3 linked regions of the Schizosaccharomyces pombe genome follow. The protein of the gene in region 3 interacts with the protein of the main gene of each other region in a biochemical or structural test. Each region holds a gene or a part of one and is shown on either strand. Other genes may lie near its edges. The genes, in order: aha1, sti1 and hsp90.

Region 1 (4,250 bases), on a different chromosome or scaffold from region 3:
AAGCTTTCTTCCTACTCATTTTACGACTGTTTTTTTTGCGACACTTCCAGAATTATCCTACATCGGTTGGGCAATTGCCTTCTGGCTCTCTTGTTTTAAATATCTTGTTCCGGTTTACGCTGGTTACTGTATCGTTCACAACAAATCAAGTGCTGCAAACATAGTAGGAATTGTTCTCAGCATTGTCGTGACTCTTGGTACTTTAGCGTTTCTGATTGTTCGTTATAAAGCAATTAAAAATAGCACTTTAGAAGATTCTACGAACAGTACTTCAGATGTATTAAATCATTTAGAGTCACAACCAACCGATAGTATTGATCTGAGACATCTTGAGCAAACTTCAGAACAGAATGAAACTGACAACTCAGAAAGAAAACATTTGTTAAGTCATCAACACTGACACATTTGTCCCTAAAAATTCTCTTATCGTATAATTATTAAGGTACATATCACTTTCATATATTAATACGTAGAAAACGATCACAATCCTAACAATTTGATGAAATTAATTTAGATATTCTATATTTTGTTTTTAATAAACATGGGATTTACCAATGTGTAACATATTATAATTAGACATACAATCAGTGAAAATATTCACAAATCGTGGCATCAGTCAATCATGGCTGTAAAATTCATTAAATTTTAATAATTTTGAAAAAACAAGAGGACAAACTATGGTTATGCATTCTTGATAAAACCTGATTTTATCTATATTTCATTTGCCTTCAAAAAAAGCAAAACTCACAATAGAATACATTATTTGAAACATAGCCTGTATGCAGGATTTATAAAGGATTGTTAAATTTTTTTCTGAGCTAATCATCCATATGTGAAAGTCAAGATCGATTACAGAACAGCGCCAAAACCAAAAACTGTCTTAATGGGACGAATATAATAATCCTGAATATTACCTTGTACAACCTCCTCTTCGCCGATCGGAACACCCTTCATAATCATACGTAAAGTAGTATAAGAATCAGCTTGATCGAAGGTGAATGTTATTTCAGCATAGTGACCGGTGGGCCACGAACTAAGACGCCAAGTTTGCACGATTTTTTTGTTTTCTTCCAGTACAAGGAATTTTCCAACTACATTTCCATGGAACAGAGAGAAAGCGCCTTGCGGACGAACATCGAGTTGCGGAGGAGCGCGAGACCAAGCAGCTACGCGAGCAGGATCAAGGAAAGTAGCATAAAGTTCATTAGCAGGAGCATCAAAAGTATAGTTCTCAGAAATATCGGCAGTATTGACTACTGCTGATACACGAGAGCCATCAGAGCCAGATCCAGCGGCCACCGTGGTAGTACCTTTGTTAGACGAAGTCTGTGAAGAATTGTTTTGCTTAAAGCTACTATGCACGGGAAGTCCACGAGCAGCGTTACCGTTATGTTCTTCAGTGGAGAGATAAACATCGTCACCATGGGTTTGCAACAAAACTTGGGAAAATCCAGAAAAAAGCTGACGAATTTGAGGAATAATTTTCTCACGAACAAGCTCTTTAATGGGTTCTTTTTCCTTTGAAGCAGAGTAAATGTCGATGTCAAACACGTAATCAGAGTATCCTAAGTCATAAGAAAGCTCGGGGCAAGTAATGGAGCCAGTAGCTTCAACTCCATCCTTAGTTTCTCCTTTAAATTCCATTTGTATTTTCAAATCAAAAATAGTAATGACCTTTCTTTTGCGCATAGAGACATCGACATCTCCTTCACAGCTATTGACTTGGGTAATGCGAGCACTAGTGGGGCCCTCAGAAGCTTGGATCTTAGGAAGTTCCTTATTGAAGTACTCATGAGACCATACTCGACAATCCTTTGAAGTCCAATGCCTAAAATTGAGTTAGCGAATCAATCGTTTTATTTGGACATATCCATCGTTTCGTAAATATTCCAAACCTTTGACGATGAACTACTATTCCATATTCAGAAACCAACGCATTGAATAACTACCGACTCAATAAAGAAAAAACTTTCATAATAGGATCAACCCAATCTTGACATCATGATTTGGCTAGCAACAATGTAAAATGGTGAAACCCAATTTCGCTCGTTTATACGAATTCATTCAATAGAATATTATTGTGTTCAACCCAATCAAAAATGTCATTGAAATTGAATAAGGGATAATACGATGGAAATGAATAAAAACATAGTTACATGACTTAAGTTTGGAAATTTTTTTATCCCAACACTACTGTACATACCAGTTATTGGGGTTTATAGATGTGGCCGACATTCCTACTCAATATAAGCTAACAAATGAATTTCGTTCAAATTCTAAAGCAAACAAGGTGTTGCGTCCAATTTCAATCTCATGCTCGTTTCAACCTCCTTCTATATATATACCCCCACCTACACCACCCCCATCGAAGTCTCAGGAATCTTCGAGAGAAGGAAAAGACGAGTATCTAAGAGGACATGCAGTATGCTAAGCTCCGCTAGAAACTGTTGTGCTAACAATGAATGTGCTCTACTATCAATATATACCGCATGAGGTATAGATGGAAGACTAATGGTCTCAGTGGTAAATGCATGTTATTGTATAATAACATCTATTTGCAAATTAATCAACTGCATAATCATGCGGATAGTAATTTAAATTGTTAAACTAATAATGTGTATTTAGTGAAAAACCTCCGTTGGGAAAATTCTGCATCTTTCCATGCTGAAAAGGAAAGAAGATCCACTTCAAGACAGATATGAAGTTACATTTAACTTGAAAACTCTTTGTGTATCATATTGAATTCTATTTTTCAAATTAATAAAAATAAATAGTTTGCCTTCTCAGTTGGAAAGCAGTCGTTAAGCATATGATACAGTTTTCATAAATACACAAGCGTTCAGACTTATAACAATAACGCTTGAAATTAGCAAACATAGAGCGTAATTTGCTTTTAAAAGTAGATTCTACTTTCCAATTAAGATAATTATTATAATCTATCAAAAAAAACTTTTTATATCACCAAAACCGAACCAACCAAAATATGATAACATTTCACCACTCTCAAATGAAAAAAGAACGAGTGATTTAGCAAGAACTACTTGAACCAAACCCTTGCATTGAACAATATATACCGCATGAGGTATAGATGGAAGACTAATGGTCTCAGTGGTAAATGCATGTTATTGTATAATAACATCTATTTGCAAATTAATCAACTGCATAATCATGCGGATAGTAATTTAAATTGTTAAACTAATAATGTGTATTTAGTGAAAAACCTCCGTTGGGAAAATTCTGCATCTTTCCATGCTGAAAAGGAAAGAAGATCCACTTCAAGACAGATATGAAGTTACATTTAACTTGAAAACTCTTTGTGTATCATATTGAATTCTATTTTTCAAATTAATAAAAATAAATAGTTTGCCTTCTCAGTTGGAAAGCAGTCGTTAAGCATATGATACAGTTTTCATAAATACACAAGCGTTCAGACTTATAACAATAACGCTTGAAATTAGCAAACATAGAGCGTAATTTGCTTTTAAAAGTAGATTCTACTTTCCAATTAAGATAATTATTATAATCTATCAAAAAAAACTTTTTATATCACCAAAACCGAACCAACCAAAATATGATAACATTTCACCACTCTCAAATGAAAAAAGAACGAGTGATTTAGCAAGAACTACTTGACCAAACCCTTGCATTGAAAAATTAGGCACTAAAAAGTGATAGTTTTAAACACATTTATACCAGTCATAGCAGTGGAGACAATCGTTCCAGGTATTTGCCTATGCCAATGCATTTCCTTGATTTCTTGTTGACCCATGTGTATAAACATTAACTGAGGAGGAACGTCCTGCAACCCCTCTGCTGCACGACTGTCTTGTTCTTCTTCATCAAGCTCCACCGATAAATCCCATAATGAAATTTGATTATCCGCACCAACGACACCAATAACGGAATCTTCGTTAGGATGCCATTCAATACTGTATATAGGAGCACGGTGCCATTTGAAAGAAGCAACAGGAGTTGCAACTGAGGATGAACTTTTCAGAGAACGAAGGTCCCACACGCTCCAAACACCATTATCAGCACCAGTTGCCAATAAATTAGGTACACGTGTATTCCAACTTAACACATTAACGTCGACACCAGGATGAGCATTGACGGTAAGAGCTGACGTCTTTTGTTTATTTCGGACATCCCAGATGCGAAAAGTGCCATCGCAACTGCAACTGGAAAATACGTTCTTTTCACTAGGAGACCATTGTAGATCTTCGACAGCAGCAGTATGGCTTAGAAAAGGA
Region 2 (4,586 bases), on a different chromosome or scaffold from region 3:
TAGCAATTAACCCTCAATTTATGCAGAATGCCATTTCGGCGGCTCAGAAAAAGGCGTCCAAACAATAATTTTTGTAAATTTCTTTTTTAATGGAGGTTATTAACAAGCACCGTTCTTGCATAACTCCTCCTTTTTGGATCATCAAAAATGGCATATATGTCTCTTTTTGGTATATATTAAAATAGGAAAACTGTAGTTTAAAGAATCAATTAACCCGGTCCTTAAAAGTTTTCATTATAATATCATTTTTGGGAGATGGTCCTAGTTAACCTTATCCTAGAATCTTTGAGACACATTGACGAGTTTTTTATTAACGGTATATTTTGTGAAGCATGGCTTCTTTGACTTACATATCTATCTAATATTACTGCTTGATATGCATAATCTATTTTCATAACATTTTAGTTATGGATAATTAAGGTCAACCTAATGATATTTATTTATTTTTTTTTTACACTCTTAATTGAGTTTGTTAGTTAGCACAATGTAAAGCGATTCACATCTGGACTTAAAATTTTGATTTGATATTATAATACTTTTCATATCCACCCTAAAATTTGGAGAATAAAAGGTTAAAGCATTTAGTAACTACCTATCGTGATATGATTATAATTTTAAATTCAACATGAATTAGTGCTTATGTTTATTAAATGATCAAACTATTAATCGACTAACTCATCAATACCCTAAAAATTTGGAGGATAAATAACACCCAACTTCTTCGTTTAGTGAAATATTTAACAAAAAAGCAGTTATCCAATTCATCCGGTTGTATTAAAGTAAGGGATTACTCTTTAACAAACAACATTCATAAACTAAGTAAACGTTAAAACCTTTCTTTTTTTTAAATCTCACTTCTCACAAAAGCGCAAATTTAGCCCAGGCGAATAACACCGCTGGCAATCAGCTTCTCAATTTTGCTTTTAACGGTTGGGTTCTTCATGTGTTCCATCAAAGCAGCAGGATTCTCACGAGCTTGTCCAAGGATAGCTTGCATAGCAGGGTCTTGTAAGATTCCTAGAACTTCAGGATCTTTTTGAATTCGAGCCATCGTCTCCTCCTCAGTTTCATTTTGTCTCTGACTAGCCATTGCGCTCATACACTTGGACAATTGAGACTCGATTTCACGAAGGTTCTTACCGGTATTGGGCTCACGACGGTCAACTTCAGAAGCTTCATTGCATGCATCAATACATTTATTGTAATCTTTCAACATAAAAAGAGCTTGAGCTTTGCGAACATACGCTTTTGCAAAGTTGGGATCTAACTCGATTGCCTTGTTGCAATCACGAATGCACTCTGCGGGAGCCATCACCTTCAGATAGGCAGCAGCACGGTTACCAAAGCCACGAGGATCAGAAGGAGCACGCTTGGTCATTTCTGTATACTCCTTAATGGCATTGGCAAAGTCGCCAGATTTAAAAAGCTCATTACCTTTGACACGAGACTCCTCGGCTTTGTCAGGGTCAATGTAAGCTTCACGATCCTGAAGTTCCTTACTCTTTTCAGCATCCTTTAGCCTAGAGAGAATGTCAGGAGTACGATGTTCGGTAAGAGAACGTTGATAGTAATCAATAGCTTTGACTAAATCACCGCGTTTCTGATACGTAGTACCCAAACGGCCAAGTGCTTTGGCAATGAGCTTAAAGTCGGCACGCAACTCACGACCTTGCTCGATTGCATCTTCACAAGTTTTAATGCAATCATCAAGTTGATCCGCTTCAAAATAAGCAGCAGCAAGGTTATTCAAATAGGTGATATCCTTGTATGTATCCCATGCCTTTTTGTATTGTTCAATAGCCACAGGAAAGTTACGCTTCTTGTAGTTTTCATTGCCAATTTGCTTTTCTTGATCGGCTTTTTTCTTAAGGGCTTCCTTTGTGGCTGCTTCCTCCAATTCCTCAGCAGTTTTGTCTTCTTCCATGGGTTCACTGGCTTGAGGCTGGGGAGGAGGATTAGTGGTTTCAGGCTTGGCAGAGTCAGCAGAAGGCGTGGAAGAAGAAGGAGCAAACTCTTCTTTCTTCTCTTGTTCCTCTGCAGCGCCCTCTCCCGCATTCATGTTGATATCAATACCCATCAACATGCCAATCACCTTCATCATCCTTGGGTCATTCAACTCGGCCATGATACTGCCAGGATTTTGTTGAATCTTTTGGAGCTTAGCCATAAAGGCCGAATCAGCAAGCAAAGAAGCCGTTTCCGGATTGCTAGCAAGCTTTTCCATGAATTTAGGATCGGAAAGTTGAGAACCTAACTTGGCGAACGGGTTGAAACCGCCGGCACCAGAAGCGGCTTGAGTTTGTGCGGCTTCTACACTTTTCAAACCATTTAGCAATTGCGCATTATTAGCATCATGCTTCAAGCCTTCCTCATATGCGCTACGTGCTGCATCAAGGTCGCCAAGTCCGTGTAAAGCAGCGCCTTTTCTTGACCAACCTTTAGCCCAGTCTGGCTTCAATTCGGTACATTTTGTGGCATCTTTCAGTGCATCGGCATAGTCCTTTTCAGAAGCATAACACGCAGAGCGGTTGGAATACAAAATGTGATTTCTTTCATCTAAACCAATTGCTTGAGTAAAGTAATCAATGGCTGTTTTATAATCCTTTTTGGAGAACGCCGCATTTCCCTTGGCTTTCAATTCTTCTGCCATTTTAATGAATTCACTGAAATCACCAGTTTTCGAGTTTCGTTTGCTTTCAAAACGATTTCCCACTAATTAAATATCAACAATATCGATTTTCCGCAACTAAGCGTCGTAACTCTTTCCGTTTACTACTTTTTCGTAGAATTTGGAATTTCGTTTGTCTTTGAAGATGTATGCTAAAGACAGGTAATTGTAAATATACCCGACACCGCTGGACACGCTTGTGTATATATATGGCCATCGTCATTCAAGCTCAGCGAAGGTTAACGAAAACTCCAGAATAACGAAGATTCTTTTGTTTAAACTTACACGCAAATTCATGATATAAAATTAGATAATTCTAAAATAGTTAATTGTATTTTTAAACTACTTTAATAACTTCAAAATTGCTTTCCCTTCTGATTTTGTAAGGATTTCGTCTTGAGGTCACAACTCTTCCATCCTCCTTGGAAGGTGACAGTTTGTTTGAATTTGTATATCTGTAAAACACTGTTATTCATGAAAAATAGTAGATGATATTATTTGTATTCTTTTTTCATTGCAGTATAACATAATTCTCTTTGTAGGATAAAAAACGATGGCTCAAGTTCTTCTACGAAGTCTTTATACTTTCTGGTGCAGGCTGCTTCATCTGAATACACAGTCAAAACGTCAGTAGAAAGTGACTTAAAAACAATACCAAGAGGAATTACTTACTCCTTTTTCCGGACTTTTCTTTTAGTCCACATTTTTATCGTTTGGCACTTTAACTCGTTTCATCTGCGTTGAGTAAACCACTATGAATATCACAAGATCCAAGTAACTAACCTAGTCAGTTCTACGATATCAAGTTCTTTGAAGAAAGCATAAAGCAAGCATTTGTTAAATAAAAATTTACCATTATTGAATAACGCTCATCCTGAGCGTTACCCAAACCGGTAGGATGAATTATGGAAACACATTTTTGACGCTTTTGCTTCTCTACTAGAGTAATACACTAACAAATAAAACCACTTTACATTTCTATTAACATCGGTTCACACTACCAAAACAAGGTAGGAAGTAACGGAGAGTAAAGAAAGATTGATATATAAGAATAGGTTAATAGTGTATAAAGAACTAAATCCCAATTAAGGAAAAATATGGTAAATAACAACGTTGCAATTTATCTCTCTTCATCAGGGATGGACTTAACTCACTGGATGAGAGACATGTCCATATTAACATTCTAAATTCAGAAAATCCTCAGCTAAAAGAAAAAAGCATTCTTCATTCACGACTCCAAAGACAGAAAATCAATATAAAAAACAACAAACGTATCAAATATAAACCACTTAATCATAAAAATCCATTAGAACGAAGTATTTCCTTCTCATTATAAAGCTGGATCCTGTTCTTCATGTAACTTTGATAGAGTATTAGGGTCAGGGAGTTGAGCGTCATGATATTCATCAACCGATCCGTTGTCACTCCGATATGTTACAAAACTTGCAGTACTCTGGGGTCGTCGCCTACGCGCAGGCGCTGGCATGTGTTCTGCAAATCCCTTTGTACTATCGCCGCTTGCATCACGTGAATGTTTATGGATGGAGCTATCTTCCGGCTTTGTGTTTTCAGAAAGAAACTTGTGAAACGCAATCCTGTCAACCTCACTGAAAATTGGGATAAACTCATCCAACGCACACAAAACTTCAAGGTCTGACTTGCCATTAGGGATGTCAAAGTTCAGAATGTACTCTTCAGGTGCAATCATTTTAAAGTATTTGGGCTTCCATTGAACATTCTCTATCTCGCGCTGTTTTGCTTCTTCTCGCTGACGATCCTCTATGGCGGATTTTGTTTCGGTAGCAGTAGTTTGGTCACGGGCTATTACTGCCTGACACGTTTTATACCACAACCTTTGAGACTCACGCTCCCCCTGCTCCTCTAATGGACGAGCAGAAACAAGATAAACATCGTGCTT
Region 3 (4,926 bases):
GCTCGTACACCAGTCATGGTGTATTCTATTACGAGAAATTCGTTGATGCTATTGCTGGGTCAAAAGATAGCAATTGAGTTAAGAGCAGCCAGATATGTTTCACATTCTTCCCTCTAATACTTTATCTTTTTAACCTGAGCCATTTCCCTTAGACGAATTTTCCTCTTCTCTTTTAACTTTTTATGAAAGCATTTGATACATTTATGTTCGTTGTGACCTATACTTTATGTGTCTCAATACTTAGCTACTCTCTGCGACTTTACTATTATTTGCAGTGTTTAGTGAGTTAGAGCTTAGGCTTAATGTCATTAACCATATTTTCATTCGAGGGTTCAATTAATGTATGAATAAATCTATATTAGCCCAGCATACCTATGTTCCTCATCAAAATTATCCTACCTTGTAAAACAGCTCTCACATGACTAGAAAAAAATAACTTTTAAGCACCAACTTGTACTTGTTAGTAGTATAAACTACATTATTCGAAAACAAAATTTGATGTACTAATAAGTATCCATAAACTTTAATATTACTAATCAACATTCCATATTATAACAACTTCCAAACAACCTGTAATCTAGTGTGTATTAAGAAAAATCGTGTAGAAAGAAATTTTTGAATGACAACAGACACTAGAATCGTTAACAATGTATAGGATAACTTGCTTTAATCCAAGAAAAACATTATATGCATAAATTTTGGAAAGACACATTAGATGCATTTGATTTAATCGACTTCCTCCATCTTGCTCTCAGCATTGTTTTCAGCAGCGACGGATTCGGTAGAAATTTCCTCAATAGGAGCCTCCTCCTCTTCGTCAATGCTAAGACCAAGAGAAATAAGACGGTTGATACGTTGAGCATAAGCACTAGGGTCATCAAGAGTGAAACCAGAGGACAACAAGGCGGTCTCATACAAAATAGTAGCAAGATCCTTCACAGAGCGGTCTTCGGCACCATTCTCCTCAACCTTCTTCTTGAGCTCAGCAATGATGGGAGACTTGGGGTTAATCTCAAAAGTCTTGCGGCTAGACATATAGGCACTCATAGAAGTATCACGAAGGGCTTGAGCCTTCATGATACGTTCCATGTTAGCAGACCAACCATATTGACCGGTAGTTAACAAGCAAGGAGAACCAACAATCTTGTTAGAAACAACAACCTTTTCAACCTTGTCACCCAAAATGGTCTTAAGTTGCTTAGCAAACTCCTCATACTCTTTTTCGAGCTTCTCGCGAGCAGCCTTCTCCTCGTCAGTCTCTTCCAACTCAAGACCATCCTTAGTAATGTTAACCAATTTCTTGCCCTCGAATTCCTTGAGTTGAGTGACAGCGTACTCATCAATGGGGTCAACCATGAAGAGAACATCAAACTTCTTGGCACGGAAGATTTCCAAGAAGGGAGAGTTCTCAACGGCTTGCTTAGATTCACCAGTGATGAAATAAATGTTCTTTTGATGTTCGGGCATCTTAGTGATGTAGTCCTCAAGACTGATAAGATCATCAGGGGAGTTAAGGGAGTTGTAACGCAAAAGCTTGGCTAAAGCAGGGCGGTTAGCAGCATCCTCATGGATACCAAGCTTCAAATTCTTGCTGAAAGCATCGTAGAAAGTCTTGAAGTTCTCCTTGTCCTCGGCAATCTCGTTGAACATATCAAGACAACGACGGACAAGGTTCTTACGAATAACCTTCATGATCTTGTTTTGTTGAAGCATCTCACGAGACAAGTTCAAGGGCAAGTCCTCAGAATCAACAACACCCTTAATGAAACCCAACCATTCAGGAATCAACTCTTCACAGTCGTCGGTAATGAAAACACGGCGAACATAGAGCTTGATGTTGTTCTTCTTACGCTTGGCCTCAAAAAGGTCCATAGGAGCGCGGCGGGGGACGAAAAGAATGGCACGGAATTCCAATTGACCTTCAACGCTGAAGTGCTTGACGGCCAAATGGTCTTCCCAGTCGTTAGTCAAAGACTTGTAGAAAGAGGCATACTCTTCCTTGGTAACTTCACTGGGGTTGCGAGTCCAAATGGGCTTGGTCTTGTTCAACTCCTCAGTCTCAGTGGTGGTCTCCTTGACCTTCTTGGTCTTCTTCTCCTTCTTCTCAGATTCATCATCAACCTCCTCAATCTTAGGAGCCTTATCGTCTTCTTCATTCTTAACTTCTTCGGTCTCTTCTTCTTCAGGGACCTCCTTCTCAACCTCACGGGTAACAACTAATTGAATGGGGTAAGAGATGAACTCACTATGTTTCTTGACGGTATCTTTGATAGTCTTTTCCTCGAGGTATTGAAGTTGGTCTTCTTTCATGAAGAGACGAATCTCGGTACCACGTAACAAGCGAGGTCCATCGGTGTCCAAAGTGACGGTGAAGCTACCACCAGCAGAGGATTCCCAGATGTATTGCTCATCGTCATTATGCTTACTTACGACTTGGACCTTGTCGGCAACCAAGTATGCAGAGTAGAAACCAACACCGAATTGACCAATCATGGAGATATCAGCACCAGAAGCAGCAGCTTCCATAAACTGCTTAGTACCAGACTTGGCGATAACACCAAGGTTGTTGATAAGGTCATTCTTGGTCATACCAATACCGGTATCGCGAATGCTAAGGATTTTGTTCTCCTTGTCAGGAGTAATGCGAATGAAAAGATCCTTCTCAGCGTCTAAGGCATGAGGATCGGAAAGGCTTTGATAACGAATTTTGTCCAAGGCATCGGAAGCGTTGGAAATAAGCTCACGAAGGAAAATTTCCTTGTTAGAATAAACAGTGTTGATGATTAAAGACATCAACTGGCTGATTTCAGCCTCAAACTTGAAAGTTTCTGTGTTCGACATTTTGTAATGAAATCAAATTGAAAACGAAAACAAAGAAAAATGAAGGAATTTATAGATAAAACCGGTTAAGTCGTACAGTTCGTAATATAAAGGGTAAAATAAGTAATTAAATATACTTTTATTACTTGAAAAGGGGTTTTCTTCTCAGCTATAACGTGATTTTAAATATGTTCAAACGTATGAACAATCTTTTAAGCGTTCAACAAAGGAACTTAGTGGGAAATGGGTTATAAATAACTTGAGAGCTAGATGGCGGAGGGTACGTGTATGGTGGTTTATATTCTGTAAACAAAGCAACTCGAACATTCCAAAACCCTAACCCTGGTTTTTGGTGGAAGGACATGGAACTCAAAGAATAGTGCGGATGCAACGAAGTGTGGTATTTGGATTGCGATAGAAGGTTGGGGTGAGAAAAAAAATTTCTCACTAAAGTGTATCTAGAAGATGCTAGAGGGAAGATAGTGTATTGCGTAAAATTACGAACAACCAATATTCGGAAACATCCTTACACTGTGATAAGCTCATAAGGTTTTACTGTAGCGAAAGGTTTTTTCGTTAAGCATCGTTGAAGGGTGATAAAATCGGCATCTCGCTAACGTTCACTGTTCATAACCGACCGTTTTTAGGTTAGCTAAACGAGATCGATCATTTAAAGTGTTTAACTGTATCTTATCTAGATGATGGGAACTTCATAAATTCCAAGTGAGTGATATTTCTTCAAATTTCTTTTGCACGCAATTAGAATACATATTAAAAATAATGTTCCGAAAAAGAGGCCTACAGCACCCCGGATTCCCATGTTGTCTCCAACCATAGTACTAACGAGGCCCTCAGACGCTTAACTGCAGTGATCGGACGGGAACTGGTGTTTTCGCCTAGGTATGGCCGTAGACATTTGTTACATAAATTTATAGAATATATAATAAAGAACAGAATATGTAATATTTCTCAAAATCGAACAGAATTTAGCAAATACCATTTCATAAACTTGTACTGTATTTGTTTACATCGTTAAACACCCAATCCTTCGCATTTGCATAAAACTTACTTGACAAGACGAAACGCATCCGATACTACTTCGGTATGTGCGTCGCTTGCATAAATTTCGCTACAGCCATGTCACCTATCGAATACAAATTATTATTGAAACATTCCAGCAGTTTTTACAGTACTCAAATTTTAGTAAAAAGGCTATTAATAATATCTCAGCAATAAATTCTTTGTATATAAATAAATCAAAAGTGATTCTCCGCCATAAATTTTCAAAGGTAATTAACCGTTCATTTAAGGACTCTTTTGAAACTTCCAAATTATTTACAGCTGCAATTAGTCTATATTATTATACAATCCTTAGCAAGAGAGACTAGCCTTGCCTTCTCTCAACAAATACTTGGCCTCCCTTTAAAAGATATCATGAGTCGGATTCCGCGATTTCATAATCTACTTGTATAGTTAGAGAGCAACCCATGCATGGGACGACACTTCTGTTATTTTCCAGGTCGTCTTCCGTGACAACATATCCTCCTAAATCGCCGCATCGGCAAGGATAATAATAGGAGCCGTTGTCGAGTTCTTCAAATTCACTTAGATCAACGATAGAGTAGTAATGCGAGCTTTCTGTTTAGATTAATAAAAAAACCTTCAAAACAAAATTACCCTCTTCTTGTTTTATTTGATATTGCTGACGATCTTTTTCACTTGAAAGGACTTGATATGCTTCTTTCACTTGATCAATAGTATACACCACAGAGGGCTTTTCTTTACACTTATCCGGGTGAAACAGTAGTAACGCTTTTCTATAAGCTTCTTTTATTTCATCGTCTGTGTAAGTTTTTCCATCTTTGAGGTTTAGAACCGAATAGTGGTTCATGAGGATACAGCACACTTATGTCGTTCTGCTGGTATATGCATATACATAGTTAGGGTGCCCAATTGATTTGTCATTACTTTGATGTAGGAGAGCAATGATGAAACAATATGTGCTCAAATGTTTAATTAAAGCTACATCTTTAAAAATTTTTAAAGAATTATTGAGGTTAGGCGCATTGCATTTGTTAATAACTCATTATTTAACTCACTTCTTTT

What was found.
Region 1: the proteins of hsp90 (region 3) and aha1 form a complex in vitro, tested with the Schizosaccharomyces pombe proteins (one study listed by BioGRID).
Region 2: the proteins of hsp90 (region 3) and sti1 form a complex in vitro, tested with the Schizosaccharomyces pombe proteins (one study listed by BioGRID).

The regions. Positions count from the first base shown.
Region 1 is NC_003423.3:2,147,110-2,151,359, reverse strand, and holds aha1 (chaperone activator Aha1), read right to left. Parts: upstream 2,308-4,250; 5' UTR 2,236-2,307; coding exon 2,204-2,235; intron 1,829-2,203; coding exon 850-1,828; 3' UTR 559-849; downstream 1-558. Other genes in the region: SPOM_SPBC1711.09C (SNARE-associated protein), read left to right, coding at 1-400; WD repeat-containing protein Rrb1, read right to left, coding at 3,662-4,250.
Region 2 is NC_003421.2:1,260,732-1,265,317, forward strand, and holds sti1 (chaperone activator Sti1), read right to left. Parts: upstream 2,845-4,586; 5' UTR 2,651-2,844; coding exon 875-2,650; 3' UTR 607-874; downstream 1-606. Other genes in the region: bye1 (transcription elongation regulator), read left to right, coding at 1-68; osh6 (oxysterol binding protein), read right to left, coding at 3,999-4,586. UniProt on the Schizosaccharomyces pombe protein: May play a role in mediating the heat shock response of some HSP70 genes.
Region 3 is NC_003424.3:3,888,048-3,892,973, forward strand, and holds hsp90 (Hsp90 chaperone), read right to left. Parts: upstream 3,093-4,926; 5' UTR 2,842-3,092; coding exon 727-2,841; 3' UTR 511-726; downstream 1-510. Other genes in the region: myosin II regulatory light chain Rlc1, read left to right, coding at 1-77; diphthamide biosynthesis protein Dph4, read right to left, coding at 4,253-4,458, 4,498-4,711. UniProt on the Schizosaccharomyces pombe protein: Molecular chaperone that promotes the maturation, structural maintenance and proper regulation of specific target proteins involved for instance in cell cycle control and signal transduction. Undergoes a functional cycle that is linked to its ATPase activity.